Stegostoma tigrinum: one gene and its partner. The protein of the gene in region 2 interacts with the protein of the main gene of each other region in a biochemical or structural test. Links are inferred from orthologs where the notes say so. Each region holds a gene or a part of one and is shown on either strand. Other genes may lie near its edges.

Region 1 (7,163 bases), on a different chromosome or scaffold from region 2:
AGTCAATGTGTATAGCGGTGTACTACAGCCAGCATTGCATTATCTAATAACTAAGATCTGATAGAAATAAGATTTCAATTGTCACTCCTGATTCTAAATTTCATTGTTGTTACTGCCACTTCTACACTGATAGGTCATCAGTATCACAGTTATAAAGACTAAGCTGACCATACTGTTCAGCAAGGGAAACTGCCTATTAACCACTGATGAATTAAGACTGGATTCTTGATTCAACATTTTCAATCTTACTCAACTTCCAAATCATACTAAAATCTTGCTGACAATTATGCTTAAAAGGACAGCAGTGTTTCCTCCAGAAACTGTAATTCAGAAATTTAAAAATACAACAGCATTGTACATGACAGGTTGGAGCATACATGGTACAGAACTGGAGGATGCTTTCATTTCAAGTAATGATGATGAGAAGTAAAATAAGTTTGTTAAAATTTAAATCAACTTCCTTGTGCAAGATGGTGACGGAGTAGGATGCTCCAGCAGGAGCTTGTCCACTCTGCCTGTTCTTCTTTTCTTACTCCAAGCTTTTCTGCTCTTTATTCCCCTCTTCAACTCTTATCCTCCAGCAATGAACCCTGGCCTCCCACCCTGGCGCAGCAACCTGTCAGCATGGTATTTTGCTGGCATAATGCGGAGCCGGTGTTCAATGTGGACTGGAAGCTAGGTGCCAGCATGGTTTGCTGTACTGAACTTTTATTTCTGTATGTGTAAATCTTGTAACTAAAGGAATCGTGCCAAGGTTCTTTTGTACCTAAGCTGGCACTGTCATAGGTAACGTATAGTCAATGAGTATGGTGAAAAGTTTATACGTGACAAAAAAAGGCTATTCTATTCTGTTCATTTAATCATGCAGGTAATGTAACTGGTGAACATTTGGCTCAGTTTGTCTTGGTGAAAGTTTCCCAACTTTTTTTTAGATCAACCTGTTCAGCGATATTATACACACTTCAGGGGAAGTGGGACTTGAACCTGGGCTCCCTGAGAGAGCTTTTCCAACATTTAAGTAGCATCATATAGATAAGGAAAAAGATATAATAGTAATTGCCTTATTTGAGTAATTTCTTTCAATTTCCCACCTAGACTATCTGGTTCCTTTGTTCTACAAAAGCTACAGACTAACTTGTACTATTTCCAGCTGTGTGATATACAACACAAAAATGGAGACACAAGGGCAGTCAGAATGTGTAATGATATTTGCATTTAGCATAAAGGGAACAGAACTTAATTCTTCCTTGTAACTGAGGCCTCAGGCTTGGAAAACACCTTTAGAAATAATTTACAAAGTTGTATGATATGCATAAGGTGAATAATGCTTGCAATGCTGAGTTTTTCTTGTTTTCCCTGTATTAGCTATTGAAAAGGCAATTTCAGTTCACATTTAAATCTCAAATATTCTTGAAAAACAAATGCTGATTTTGAAATTAAAAAGTAAATGCAGAACATATTAATATATTCTGCAAAGTGAAAACTCTGATTTCTGTTCTGAATTTGGATCTTGGTTTTTTTGAACAAATAATAACCAACTGCCACATTAAATCTAGTTTCAGATACAGATCAAAGGCCTGACATAACTGAAAAAAAAGTTCTAATTTTTTTTAAAATTAACATTAAAATCAAAGGTTCAGGGCATTCCCAAAAGCTTGGTCGCAGCATGAAAACTAAGAAGTTTGCTGAAAAGTTTGCGAAGGTGATGAAAAGTGACTGAAGTTTTTTAAAAATCCACACAAGGACAAATTTTTTATCCTTTCAGTAACTCAATCCCTGCCTTGAACTGATTCTTGTCAAAATGCCAAGAAGGATGCATGGCAGATAATGCATCAGCACAGAGAAGAAAGAAAATCTCAAGCACAGATAAAAGAAATATACTGCACAAAGATCACACAATCAAAATATGCTGATCCACACAGGGCATTTCAGTCATGTATAAAAGTACCTGTGGCATCCATCTACAACAGATTAATAAACAGGACAGATGAAACTGATTCAGGGCAAAAGCTCTTGGCAAGCTAACTTCAGAAGATATCTTCTTTATACCAAAGCAAATATTAACGATTCTTCTATAGAACGGCAAAAAGCAGTTACTTCAGATATTTTCTGAACTAGTATTTTGACAAACCAAAGTACTTAAATATCAAACACTTCCTATATGGCATAATAATTTATACTGAAACTTCCTTTTTCAATGCAAGTATTCGTACAACTTTAATTTCAGCGTTTCTCTTTTTTTGCAAAGAGGCTACGGTCAAAATTCTTATTTTAATACGGGAAAAAACGTGGCACATTTGAGACCTTCCTCAGTTCACCCAGTGATGATCCATGAAATGGAAATCGAGGAGCCGGGAAGATGGAGGAGCTAGTTTCAAAAGATTTACACAAGACTCAGATAAAAATAAATCACTTCCACAAACTCTTAATCAACTATGACAACACAGAAAAATAAAACGTAAGCATTGGTCCAAGATTCTTAAAGATTCGTGAACCCAACAGCGTCTGGGGTGTACGCTCAGAAAGGTTATTAAAACATCTTCCCCTCGGTGGAAACTGGAGTGAGGAACGTTATTCCATCACCGGACGAGGCTGCGAAGGAAAGAAAGATCAGTCGCATCCTCTCGATTAAATTCCATTTATAAAAAGAGAAATCTTTCGCAGCGGATCACACGGCGCTGCAGTTTAAGTCAACCCCGTCCCTCAGAAGAAAGACTCGCCGAGTCGAGTTTACAGCTCAGAATGGAGGCTCCCACAACAAAAACTTGAGCAAACTTTCCCGGTCGTTAATGTACGTTACTGTCGGGGTCCGAACGGACCGGCTCCACTTTCTCCCCGTTTTCCCGGTGACGCCATGTTGTGCTAAAAGTACTTCTAAGGGGAGGTGTGGGAATAAAGGCAATAACTTCCCCTCCTTTAAAAGTGCATCTGCTCCATACTGCTGCAAAGTGTACGAACAACGAAGAGGAATTAAACAATTAAGAATAACTTGTGGTACTGTCTTACCTGAACGCCAACCAAATAGCCTCCCTCTCCTTCACGCTCCATCGGCAGCACTTCCAGCAACCGCAACACAGTCAAAGCTCCGGCGTCAGGCAGACTGCGACTGCTCACCGCGCTATGGATTAACTCGCCGACCAGCCGCACTACTTTCCCAACTACTTCCAACAAGAGCGAAGCTGTTCAACTCTTAAACGCACTAGGCAGCTTTCATTCAAACAACGCATTGTTTTCTTCCTCTAGTCTTATTCATGTTTGTTTTAAGTTTATTAAGTAATCATTTATACCGGCTCCTTATTTTACTTTTTTGAGTATCGCGATTTCATTTGATCTATTTTCATTTAATTTTCTCTTCATTTCTCGAAGAATTGAATCTTCATTGTATATACAAATATTATCAGAAGACTCGTACTGAAGGTCGCTGGACCCGAAACGTTAACTCGGCTTTCTCTTGACAGCAATTTGTGCTTGTTTTTGATTTCCAGCATCCGCAGTTCTTTCGAGTTTTTTTTAATCATTACTAGAGTCCCTTCCATTCTGAACTTTAAAAGCAGATCTGTTCTAATTCACGTTAAGATCCTGTAACTTATAAGTATGAAAAGCATTATTAAAGCAAATCAGTCCCAGTTTGAACCAGTGATGTAAGCATTTCTACAGACTCCAATGAAAATGATTCCCCGAGTTATCTTGCATTAAAAAACCTCGAAACAAATTTGATTTGTAATGCAATTGTTGTTTCGTCAGTAATTTATCTACAATTTCATTTAACTTATTTGCATTTTTAAAGCTGAAGAAATATGTTGCGTCTCACCGTTGAAATCCTCATGCAGTTCTTAGGAATAAAAGCCAAAAAAAATCAGGATTGTAAATAACAAAAGAATGTTTGGTAAAGATTAAAAGAGAAGCATGGAAAAGAAAGAATTTACATATCTGTGGCATTGGTTTACAGCCTCAGAACAAACGTGCTATACAATGGATTGCTTTTGATCTGCACCTTAAGCAGCTAAATACAGTCGCACATAGTAAAATTCCATGGTGAACAATTACAATCAGATGAATACTTATTCGGGATAGAATTAATATTAACAAAAAAGGTGGATTGATTAACAAGGGTCAGCATGGATTTTGAAAGGGGAAATAATCTTCATTCTGGAGTTTTTTTGAAGAAGTAGCAGAAAGGTTCTATAGTGGTAATACCATTGATGATCGTAGTTATACAGCGAGGAAACAGACCCTTCAGTCCAACCCAAACACTAAACTGGTCCCGCCTGCCTGTTCCTGGCCCATTTCCCTCCAAACCCTTTCTATTCATGTATCTATCCTCATGTCTTTTAAGTGCTTTAATTGTACTCGCATCCACTACTTCCTCGGGACATTCATTCTGCACACGAACCACCCTCTGTGTAAAAACTTTGCCTCGTCTTTTTCCAAAACTCTCTCCTCTCACCGTAAAAATATGTCCCCAGGCTTGAAATACCCCATCCTAGGGAAAAGATAACTACCATTTACTTTAGAAATAGTAAGAACTGCCAGTGCTGGAGTCAGAGATAACACAGCGTGGAGCTGGAGGAGCACAGCAAGCCAGGCACTATCACAGGAAGAGGAAAGCTGACGTTTCCGGTCAGCACCCTTCTTCTCAAATGGAGAAAGAGGAAGGGAGCTGAAATAAACAGAGGGAGGAGGGGTGAGGCTGGGAGAGGTAGGCGGAATGGTGATTGGTGAGTGCAGGTAGGCAGTGGTGGGGATAGGTCAGTGAGGTGGGAGAGACGATTGGACAGGTTGTGTCAGGTCAAGGAGGCAGGGTTGAGAGGGAGGGAGGTGACAGATGAGTTTCAATGTTAAGAAGTATGATGTATTTTAGCAGGAAGAAGATCTAAAAGAGGGGGGATCATGTCTACATGGTGTGTAGGAGCAGAAGATCCTGGGTGTACATGCGTGCAGATTATTGAAGGTGGCAAGAAAGCAGTTAATAAAGCATGAAGTATTCTCAGCTTTATTAACAGAGGCATAAAGTAGAAGAGCCAGGAGGTGAGGTTGGACTTGTATAAGACTCTTCTTAGATCTCAGTTGGAATATTGTGTACAGTTCTGAGAGACATGCTATAACAAGAATGTGAACTCATTGGAGAGAGTGTAGAAGTGGCCTACAAAGAAATATAGAAAATAGGAGCAGGAGTAGGCCAATTGGCCCTGCGAGCCAGCTTTGCCATTCATTCTGATCATGGCTGATCGTCCAACTCAATAAACTGTTCCTGCTTTAACCCCACATCTTTTAGCCCCAAGTACTATATTTTCTTGAAATCATACAATGTTTTCCCTCGACTGCTTTCTGTGCTAGCAAATTCCATAGTCTCACCACTCTTTCTGTGAAGAAATTTATCCTCATCTCAGTCCTAAATGGTTTATCCTGTATCCTTAGAATGTGACACTGGTTCTGGACTCCCCAGCCATCAAAATCATCTTTGCTGCAACCACCTTGTCTAGTCTTGTTAGAATTTTTAAAGTTTCTGTGGATCACCCCTCATTTTTCTGAACACTAGCGAGTATAATCCTAACCTATTCAACCTTTCTTCATGCATCAGTCCCAGCATCTCAAGAACCAGTCAAGTAAAACTTGGCTGCACTCACTAGTAAAAACATCTTTCATCAGATAGGGGAACAAAAACTGCACATAATATTCCAGTGTGGTCTCGCTAAGGCCCTGTATAATTGCAGCAAGACAACCTTGGTCCTACACATGAACTCCTTTCACTATGAAGCACAGCATACCATTTGCTGTCTTTACTGGCTGCCGTGTCCACATCCTTAACTCAGCAACTATTGTACGATTGATTGATTGATTGATTGTCATTGGTACGAAAATACAATAGAAAGCTTTGTTTTCAAGTGGTACAGGCAGATCATAGTAAACAAAGGATGCACAGATCAAAAAGACTTAGACAGAGGCATGCAGGTTACATTGCACAGAGCGTGCACTAGGTGAGATCAACATTAGCAAGATCAACATTATTTGTGGCTAGACAGTCCATTCACCAGTCTGAAAATGGTGGGGAAGAGGCTGTTCCTGAACCTGCTCGTGCGTGAATTTAGGCTTCAGTATCTTCTGCCTGACTGAAGAGTTCATGGAAATCATTACTGAGGTGCAATGGGTCTTTGATGATGTTAGCAGCCTTTCCGCTGCTGCGAGCCATGTAAATAGAGTCCATGGATGGAAGGTTGGCTTTTGTGATGGTCTGGGCTGTGCACAGCACCTTCTGTAGTTTCTTACGGCCCTGGGTAGAACAGTTGCCATACCAGCCCTTCATGCACCCGGACAGTAAGCTTTCAATGTTGCATCTGTAGAAGTTGGTGAGGGAGCATATGGACATGCCAAATTTCCTGAACTGCCTGAGGCAGACAAGGCATTGTTGTGCCTTCTTGACTGTTGCATCTATGTAGCAAGTACAGGACAGGGCGTTGGCTATCGTAACTCCAAGGAACTTAATGCTCTTCACCCTCTCATCTTTAGTTTCATTGATGTATATGGGGTGTGTTCTCCATTCTTCCTGAAATCAATGATCAGTTCTTTAGTTTAGCCAACATTGAGAGACTGATTTTTTTTCATTGCATCGCGTCATCAAGCTTTCTATCTCCTTTCTGTAGTTTGTCTCATTGTTTTCGTGTTTTCGATACCCATCCCACTACGGTGATGTTGTCAGCGAACTTATAGATGGCATTCATTTGGAATTTAGCAACACAGTCATAGGTAAAAAGGGAGTACAGTAGGGGTCTGACGATGCATCCTTGGAGGGCTCCAGTGTTGAGTGTTATTGCGGAGGTGGTGCAGTTTCCTATCTTCACTGATTGTGGGCTGTGAGTCAGAAAGCTGAGGATCCAGTTGCAGAGGGCAGAGCTGATATCAATGTCATGGAGCTTTGTGATCAGTCTGGAGGGGATAGTGGCATTGAAGGTGGAGCTGTAGTCAATGAGTAGCAGTCTGAGTTGGGTGTCTTTGATGTCCAAATGTTCTGGGGATGAGTGCAGGGCTAGGGATATGGCATCATCTGTGGACCAGTTATGTCAGTAGGCAAATTGTGGTGGATCAAGGCAGGCTGGGAGACTGGAGTTAATGTGGGCCATGACCAGCCTTTCGAAGCACTTCATGATCATTGATGTCAAAGCCAC
Region 2 (8,072 bases):
AGACTTGAAACGTTAGCTTGCTGTCTCTCCATGGGTGCTGCCTGACCTGCTGAGATCACCAGCATTTGTTATTTTCAATACTGAATGAATATTGTGTTTCCCCTAATAGAAGTGGTTATAGTTACAGAAGCAGCCTTGATCAACATTTGTTATGGTTCTTTTGACTGTAAACTTAGCAATAACAGAAAGCCAGTAATAGCTTTTCATTCTGGCCTTGGTCACAGCTATAAAGCGAACCCTGAAAAAGCAGCAAAATGTACATTTCAGAATGCAGCTTTTATATTCAGCATGCTAATGTCAGCCAAAATGTAGGCTGCTTTAATATCAGCAGGAGGCGCTAATGGATTATTCGTCCATTTCAAGCATTCCTCCTAGAATAATTCTTATTCAGAAAAGGAAATGAGCAATAATTAAAACAGAATGACTTTTGCTTCTAAACAGCCTTATAAAGATCAATGAGAAATTTGTGTAGCACTGTCACATGCATTGTTTAGTTGAACAAGAAGCGAGATTTCAAAGTAAAGTTATTCAGTGCTGATGACAATAGATAGGTTTTCTGACACAGACATCACCAGATATCTAAGATAATGGGAACTGCAGATGCTGGAGAATTCCAAGATAATAAAATGTGAGGCTGGATGAACACAGCAGGCCAAGCAGCATCTCAGGAGCACTCCTGAGATGCTGCTTGGCCTGCTGTGTTCATCCAGCCTCACATTTTATTATCACCAGATATCTATGTGCGTTGCAGAAGACAAAAAGTATGGTCAGCAATAGAGGGTTTTAAAAGGGGCTTGATTTACAAAATATGCACTAGAAGTTAACACTATCTTTAAATAGGATTCACAAAATCTGACGATTTAATAATCTTCTTAAATGCTACTTGATTATTCATATTGTTAGTTTCATATTTATCCATCAGTATTGTTAATGTGATGTGAATACAGTGCATGAGCTGTTTGAAAGTTGTTTGCTTGAGCCAGCTAGAACAAATAGAAACAAGTTAGTTAGAACTTTAAATTTGACTTCAAAAGAAATCAGTGGTGTTCCTCAATATTCATGGACAATTAGTTTCTGAAAGTGCTACTGAAATGTTTTGAATTTTCCTCCTAAATTATGTGATTAGATGATGTTACCAGCTGATGAGGATAGATGACTGTTTGTATGTTGTGATGTGAAAATAACTCTCAGCTCTTCCTTCAATACTTCAGCAAGTGATTCAAATCAATTTCCTCAAAATGCTGATAATTGCTTTAAATACAAATTTTAGTAAACAAGTTTTGTTGCTTTGAACAGCATTCTTATGTTTCAATAAACAGTGTGTTATGACTCACTGCTGTATGAACTATTTAAAAAATTAGTCTACATTGAATTTCGCATAACTTCCTTGTTCTTGTACACTCTGCTTCTATTTACAAAGACAAAGGATTCTATATCCTGAGAAAAAATACAAAATGGAAAAAATATATAATGACAGTAAAACAAAAATTCCAGAAAAAATATTAACCCCAGTAAATCTATTTTATTATCTGGATGTAGACCAGATTTGTGGCCTTTGCACATCCCCATCAGGGAAAAAATCTGTCTCGCTTTTTTGATTAGTCATGGTGATACTTTACTGGAAAAACGCGCTTAAACTTCTTTACAATTTAAAATTATTCTGCTGTCATGCATAGTTTAAAATGTTAAAAAAACTAATTGTATCAATCATTACATCATTTTCTATGCATAAGACATTTTTGTTCGTTTTTGTATTCCACCCACCCTCTAAAGGGAAGGAGAGAATTATTCCAGTACGAAATGATCATACTGCCACACTCACCCTCATTCTTTAATATCCATGTATCTCGGCATATGGAAATTATTATTTATTTGTAGTATATATTTTATATGCTATATAACTGGTTGTTTTGAATTAAAAAAATGTTATGCATAGTGTTTGCCACTTTCTATAAAGACATTTAAAAATATAAAACTGATTCAGTTTAAAAATTACATTCTGACTATAACTTGGGGTGCTACAGCAAGTATTAATTAACAAAATTAATTGGTGTGGTACTATGAATCATACATGCAGCTTGATTCGGGTAGCACTCATATCTCTAGGTTAAAGATCATGAATTAATATGGCACTCCAGAATCTGAGCACAAAATTTAGACTGAAACATCAGTGTAGAAATGCTGGGGCTGGTGTCTTTCAGACAAATTGTCAAACTAAGGCCTTGTAAACTAAGTGTGTGAGCTCACATGGATAAAGAAGATCCATAGAACCAATAAGCGTAAAGATTACTTTCTCCTGGTATCAAAATAATAGTTATCTCTTAACTGAGCACCACCAAGAAAGATTTTACTTTTTCTCCCTGCTGTTTATAAGAACACATGACAAAACAGAAAAGGAAAGATACTCTGGTTCATCTGACTTGTCCTGCATATTTATAATATCTTGTGCATTTGTTTTCATTCTTTCATGAGCTGTGGGTGTTACTGGCTGGGCCAATATCCACCATTCCTAAATTGCTTAAGAAAGCACTCATGAGCTGCCTTCTTAAAATGCTGCAGTCCATGGGATGAATACACCAACAGTGTTGTGAGGAAGGAGGTTCCAGGATTTCGACCTAGCGACGATGAAGGAATGGCAATATAGTTTCAAGCCAGGGTGGTGTATGGCTTGGAGGGGATCTTGCAGATGGGTGTTTCTGCTAATGCATCTACTGCCCTTGTCCTACTAGATGGTAAAAATTTACATTACCATATATACATTCTTACTCTACCTGAAACCATTCAATCTCCAGGGAATCATTAAAAATCTAAACCAACGTTGGAGGAAGAAAAGTTTAGGAATTCCTTTCTGACCCTCTTTGGCAATCACAACTGGTCAAGTGTGATGATGCTATGGCTTTAACAGGCATATTTTGCCCTGTTACTTTTTATGAAGATAGGTTGAGACAGAGGTAATAAGTGGTCTGCTCAAAGCCAATAAAGTAAACAGCTTGTGAGGCCCTGTTTTTTTTAAAGTTTGGAGCAATAGAAGCAGCCTGAATAAATGGGGTCATGCTCCCACAGAACTAGGATTTTTAGTTTTAGATTTCTGCAGTTGCTGGGATCTTGAGGTTGGATGCAGAAGTTTTTATTTCTTTCTGTTATTGCTAAAAGCTGGGGTTCTATTCCTGCTGCTAGAGTTGCAAGTAAGGGTATTGGCATCTTCTTAATATATTTTGAGGTGGTTTGGTCGGGTCAATAACATGAAAATGTCATTCAATCCTCCAATTTCCTGCAATACCTACCTTTCTTCAAAGGTGACATCTGTCCTAGCTGGAAACAGTTCTAATTGTCATGAAGTATTCAATTAATTGCCACTGTATGCACAGTCCATCATTTTCTGAGAAGAAGACCGACATCTTGACATTTAACACAGATCTGGTCCTCTACAATTTAAAATTTGGTTCTTTGGTCCTTGATTACATACTAAATTGCAACAAATTGTCTACTCAAGCACAACTTTCCCCGCATCATCATCATAATCACCTAAAACTTGATCAGATCACCCACACCTATCCTTCTCTGAAGTGCATGGTCTCAGATCTTTTAATCTATCCTGATAACTAAGATGTTTCCAATTGTGAATTAATCTTGCATTCCTCCTCTGCATCTTTTCCATATCTCAATATTACCTATCTGTGAGGCAATCAAAACTAGGCACGAAATTCTAACTGAAGCCACACTAAGGTCATTTACAGGTACAAAATAATATGCTTAGACTTACTGTCAATTGTGTTTTATACACTATGATGATCAAATCTTTTTCTTCCACCATTTCTGTTAATGCCTTTCCTTGAGGTGTATATGTATGCTTAGCAGCTACTGTATGCATAGGCTTAAGATTGCACTTTTCCAAGTTAAACATAACCTGGCAGTTTAAAAGCCCACATTTTGCAATTCATCCATTCAGCCTTATGCTGACATATCAATATTTGTCCAAAATCCAAATACACTACATCTCTTGGTACCCCTCTATCCACCCTACTTATTACATCCTCAAGGAACTCTAACAAAATTGTTAGACATGACTTTTCCTTCATAGACACAGTTGACTCAGCTTGATCGTACCATGATTTTCAAAAACCCCTGCTAAAACTTGCTTGATATCAGATTCCAGCATCTTCTCAAAGACAGATGTTAGGCTAAATGGCCTATATATACACACACCAGCTTTACACATCCATCCTTTCTTGAACATGGACATTCTATTTGTGATTTTGCAATTCACTGGGGCCTTTCCATAATCTACAGAATTCTGAAAATGTACAATCAATGCAAACCCTATTTCTGCAGCCAATTCTTTTAAGACCCTTTCATGCAAGCTATTAGCTCCAGAGCACTTGTCACCTTTTAGTCCCATGAGTTTCGCGAGAACATTTTTTAAAGTGATGATTGCTTCAACGTGCCCTTGAATTTCTACTAATCTTGCGAAGTTTTTACTGACTTTCACTGTGAAAAAACCGACAAAATATTCAGTCCAAATCATAGTTGTGAGACAGTAAATAGGAAAAATTCTTTCCAGTTGCAGAATGATCGGCAGCTCGAGGACACAGAATTAAGGTGACTGTCAAAAATAACTTGAATTGACAAGAGGTAACAGCGACGTTGCAGTGCACTGCCTGAAAGGTAGGTTCAGTAGTAACATTCAAAAGAGAATTGGCTTGCGGAGGTTGGGGACTGTGGGGTTAACAGTTATGGGGAAAGAACAGGAGAATGTGATTAATTAGGTAACTGTACAAAAGAGGCAGCACGAGAGCGATGGGACGAATGGGCTTTTTCTATGCTGTATCATTCAATGACTGGCTCATTTCATTTCAATCGTGGATTTCATATTGATAGACCATGCATTTCGTAAACTCAATAATCCGAAGTCAAGCTCTGACAAATTTACAGGCATAGCTCGACCACATTTAGTCGCATTTTTAGTAACAGTGAAGTTTCCTTGGTGCTATTTCTCGACTGCCTTGTTCCCGAGACCCGAGCAGGAGGAGCTGCAGACTGTCAAGAGGGAGGGAGCACCAGGGTGATGTCAGCAAGAACTGTGTTCTGGCTCTCAGTTGAGAAGCCCTGTAGAGAGAGGACTTCGACCAAAGAAGCGAAACAAGAGAAGAAAGCAGCGACTTCAGCCTTAAAAAAAGAAAAAAAGTATCACTGACAACTTTTTGCTGCTGGAAAATAACCCTCAACCTCTCCTCTCGTCGTTTTGAGCGTGGATTTTCTGTGGGTGGAAATACTCTCAAAAATAAGGAAGAAATCAGAGCAACAACGAATCGACTGGATTCGAGCCTTCGACAAAATAACAACAATATACCTCTACAGAAGATCAATCCTGAGCTGTATTCGAAGATGGGAAGCGAGACACAGAGAAAGGGGGGAGTCTGGTTGCACTGATCGAGGCACAGAGACGGTCTGAGTAAGGGAAGAGAGACAGAAAAATCTAGAAGAAAAGTGAAAAATTGATTTTTTTTCCGGCGTATTGAAGGAGGGGAGTTGTTTTCTTTTTAAAAATTTCCTGAGGTAAATAATGTTTGTTTTTTTTATTTTGATCGAGTTTTTTTTGGTCGTCCGTTGGTGAGTGTGGGCTATGCACATCCGGGCCACCGGGCTGGAGGAGGCCATCATTGTTCGCTCGGGGAAAGGGGGGAAAAGCGGCGGCGGCCGCTGGCGAACGGGAGATACCATCACCATTAGCAACAGCAGCAGCCGGAATTAAACCTCATTTAAAAAATATAAACATACAAATAAAACATAAACGCTCGGGAACATGTCTAATCAAGGAGCCAGGAGGAATGGGCCAGTAAAGTTACGTCTAACAGGTAAGAAGCTGTGAATTGCACACGCATATGTAATATACACTGTGCGTTATGAAGACCTGGAGCTTTAAATGGATCCTTTCTTTTTCTCTTTTTAAATGATTTGTGAATGGAAAGATTGTTTTGTTTTTTTTCTAGTAGTTTCCTTCTCTTTGTCCCCACCCCCAATCGTGAGTGGCCAAATAAGTCATGTCATTTGCACACATTTTCTTTACAAAAGAGTGGTTGAACTTGAATGAGTTTTTTCCTGACTGGCAGATTTTGCTTTTGAATAATTTTTTTCTTATTCCCTGTATGTGGGCTTGGGGAGAAGGGTTGTGTCTTCGGATGATTTTATAACCAGGAAATTCCTGTTTCTGTTTGGAGGTTTCGGTGCTTGTAATACGTGTGAGGCCTGGCAAAGTAAACTCTTGGTTGTTGAGGTTATTCCTATGACGTGGGGGGGGGGGCGTGTGGATTCGAAACAATCTTTCTGCTTCTACCAACTCCTCTCTGATTTGCATACGGGCATGTCTGTAATATGAAAATATGTAAGATCAAGAAGACTTACGAGTTGCTGCATTTTATTAATCCAATTGTATTTATGTTCCCACCCGTCCAAAGAAGTGCAACAGCCAACTTGGCAACGGTTCAAAAGTTTAGTTTTGTTGCCTTGTGCTTATTCTGCACTATATTTATATTTTTATTTTATCTCCATGGACTTCACAATGAAAAGATGATTACGTTATTTAGAACTGGAGCTTAGTTTCTGGAAAGTTTATGAGAAAACAGCCACCCTTCAAATTGTGGCATTTTACATTAAGAACAGGTTTATTCAAAATAGGAAATGATATCTAAAATGTATTTTTTAGAAAAGGCATATTGTGAACATTATACTTGGACATCTTAACATTTTCATTAGCTGACGTTTTGCCTGTCTGCTTGGCTCAGAAATGATGTACTCACCCCTTACTAAGAAGGTTGTGGATTAAAAGTCCATTGCTTATTTTTGCCTATCATTCAGTACAGTAGAGGAGTCGTGATAGCAAGAGCTGCTGGCTGTAGGAAGAGATATTAAATCTAAGGTCTTGCATGACAGTTGGGTTGTTTTAAAAGATCCCTAGATATCATTTTGAAGAGCAGGGAGTATGTATTTTTTGCCAACGGTCTGACTCAATGACCACTCAAAAAGCATATAGTCTGCTCTTTAATCTTCTGTTTGTGGGATTGTGCTGCACTAACAACATAATTGCACCTCCAAAAAAAACTTCACATTCTATGGAATCTTGAAATGTTGTAAAGACATAAAAATGCTTCATTTTAGAAATAACATCAATGTTGTTGTGTTGGGAAGTGTAATAGCAAAAACAATGCTGTAAATATTCATCAGGCCAGAAACAAGAGTTAAGGTTTCAGATTGATGACCTTACACCATTTCTAATGAATTAGCATCTGTCTGAAATATTAACCCTGTTTCTTAGTCTACAGATGCTGCTTGCCATTCTGAGGCTTAATGGAATTTTGTTTTTGTTTTTAATTTCAGATTTCCAACATTTTTCAGAATTGCACACTCAGTTACTGTTATCAGTGGTGTTGGTTCAAGAATAAATGGTGGTTGGGATGCCTGCAGAGCTAGGCTGTTCAGATTGGAGTAAAGGCACATGACATCTTGAGTTAACTCCTGAGCCAAAAGATAGTGGTAATACTAATCCAGCATGAGAATATGTCCTTAGATCTTTTTGAGTGGGGCTAGAATCCATGCTCAAACAAGAATGACTGAACTATGTACTGTTGAAAAGAATTACAGACATGAGAAGTAAAGTGATAAATGCCTGAAAATGCATGCATAATTTTGGTTGAAGTATGTTTATATAAATGATTTGAATGAGAATTTGAGAAATGATTAGTAAATTTGCAGTTGACACCAAAATTGGTGGTATAGTCAACAGTGAAGGAGGTTATCTCAGATTATAAAGAGATCTTGATCAGTTGAACCATTGGGTTGAGGAGTGGCAGATGAAATGTATTTTGGATAAATGTGAGATGTTGCATTTTGATTAAGCAAATAAGGGCAGAACTTCTACAGTTAATGGTAGGACCCTGAGTAGTGTTGTAAAACAAAGAGACCTTGGGGTTCAGTTATATAATTCTTTGAAATTTGCGTCACATGTAGACAGGGTCATTAAGATGTTTAGCGAGCTTGCCTTCATTGGTTCAGACCTCTGAGTATAGGAGTTGGGA

What was found. The genes of interacting proteins can lie anywhere in the genome.
Region 1: the proteins of smurf2 (region 2) and smad1 form a complex in vitro, tested with the Homo sapiens proteins (2 studies listed by BioGRID and IntAct, with this or other methods). The link is inferred for Stegostoma tigrinum from reciprocal best matches to the Homo sapiens genes SMURF2 and SMAD1.

Annotation. Positions count from the first base shown.
Region 1 is NC_081354.1:46,819,890-46,827,052, forward strand, and holds the start of smad1 (mothers against decapentaplegic homolog 1), read right to left. Parts: upstream 3,108-7,163; 5' UTR 3,007-3,107; intron 1-3,006. UniProt on the Homo sapiens protein: Transcriptional modulator that plays a role in various cellular processes, including embryonic development, cell differentiation, and tissue homeostasis.
Region 2 is NC_081375.1:10,562,464-10,570,535, forward strand, and holds the start of smurf2 (E3 ubiquitin-protein ligase SMURF2), read left to right. Parts: upstream 1-5,020; 5' UTR 5,021-5,803; coding exon 5,804-5,855; intron 5,856-8,072. UniProt on the Homo sapiens protein: E3 ubiquitin-protein ligase which accepts ubiquitin from an E2 ubiquitin-conjugating enzyme in the form of a thioester and then directly transfers the ubiquitin to targeted substrates.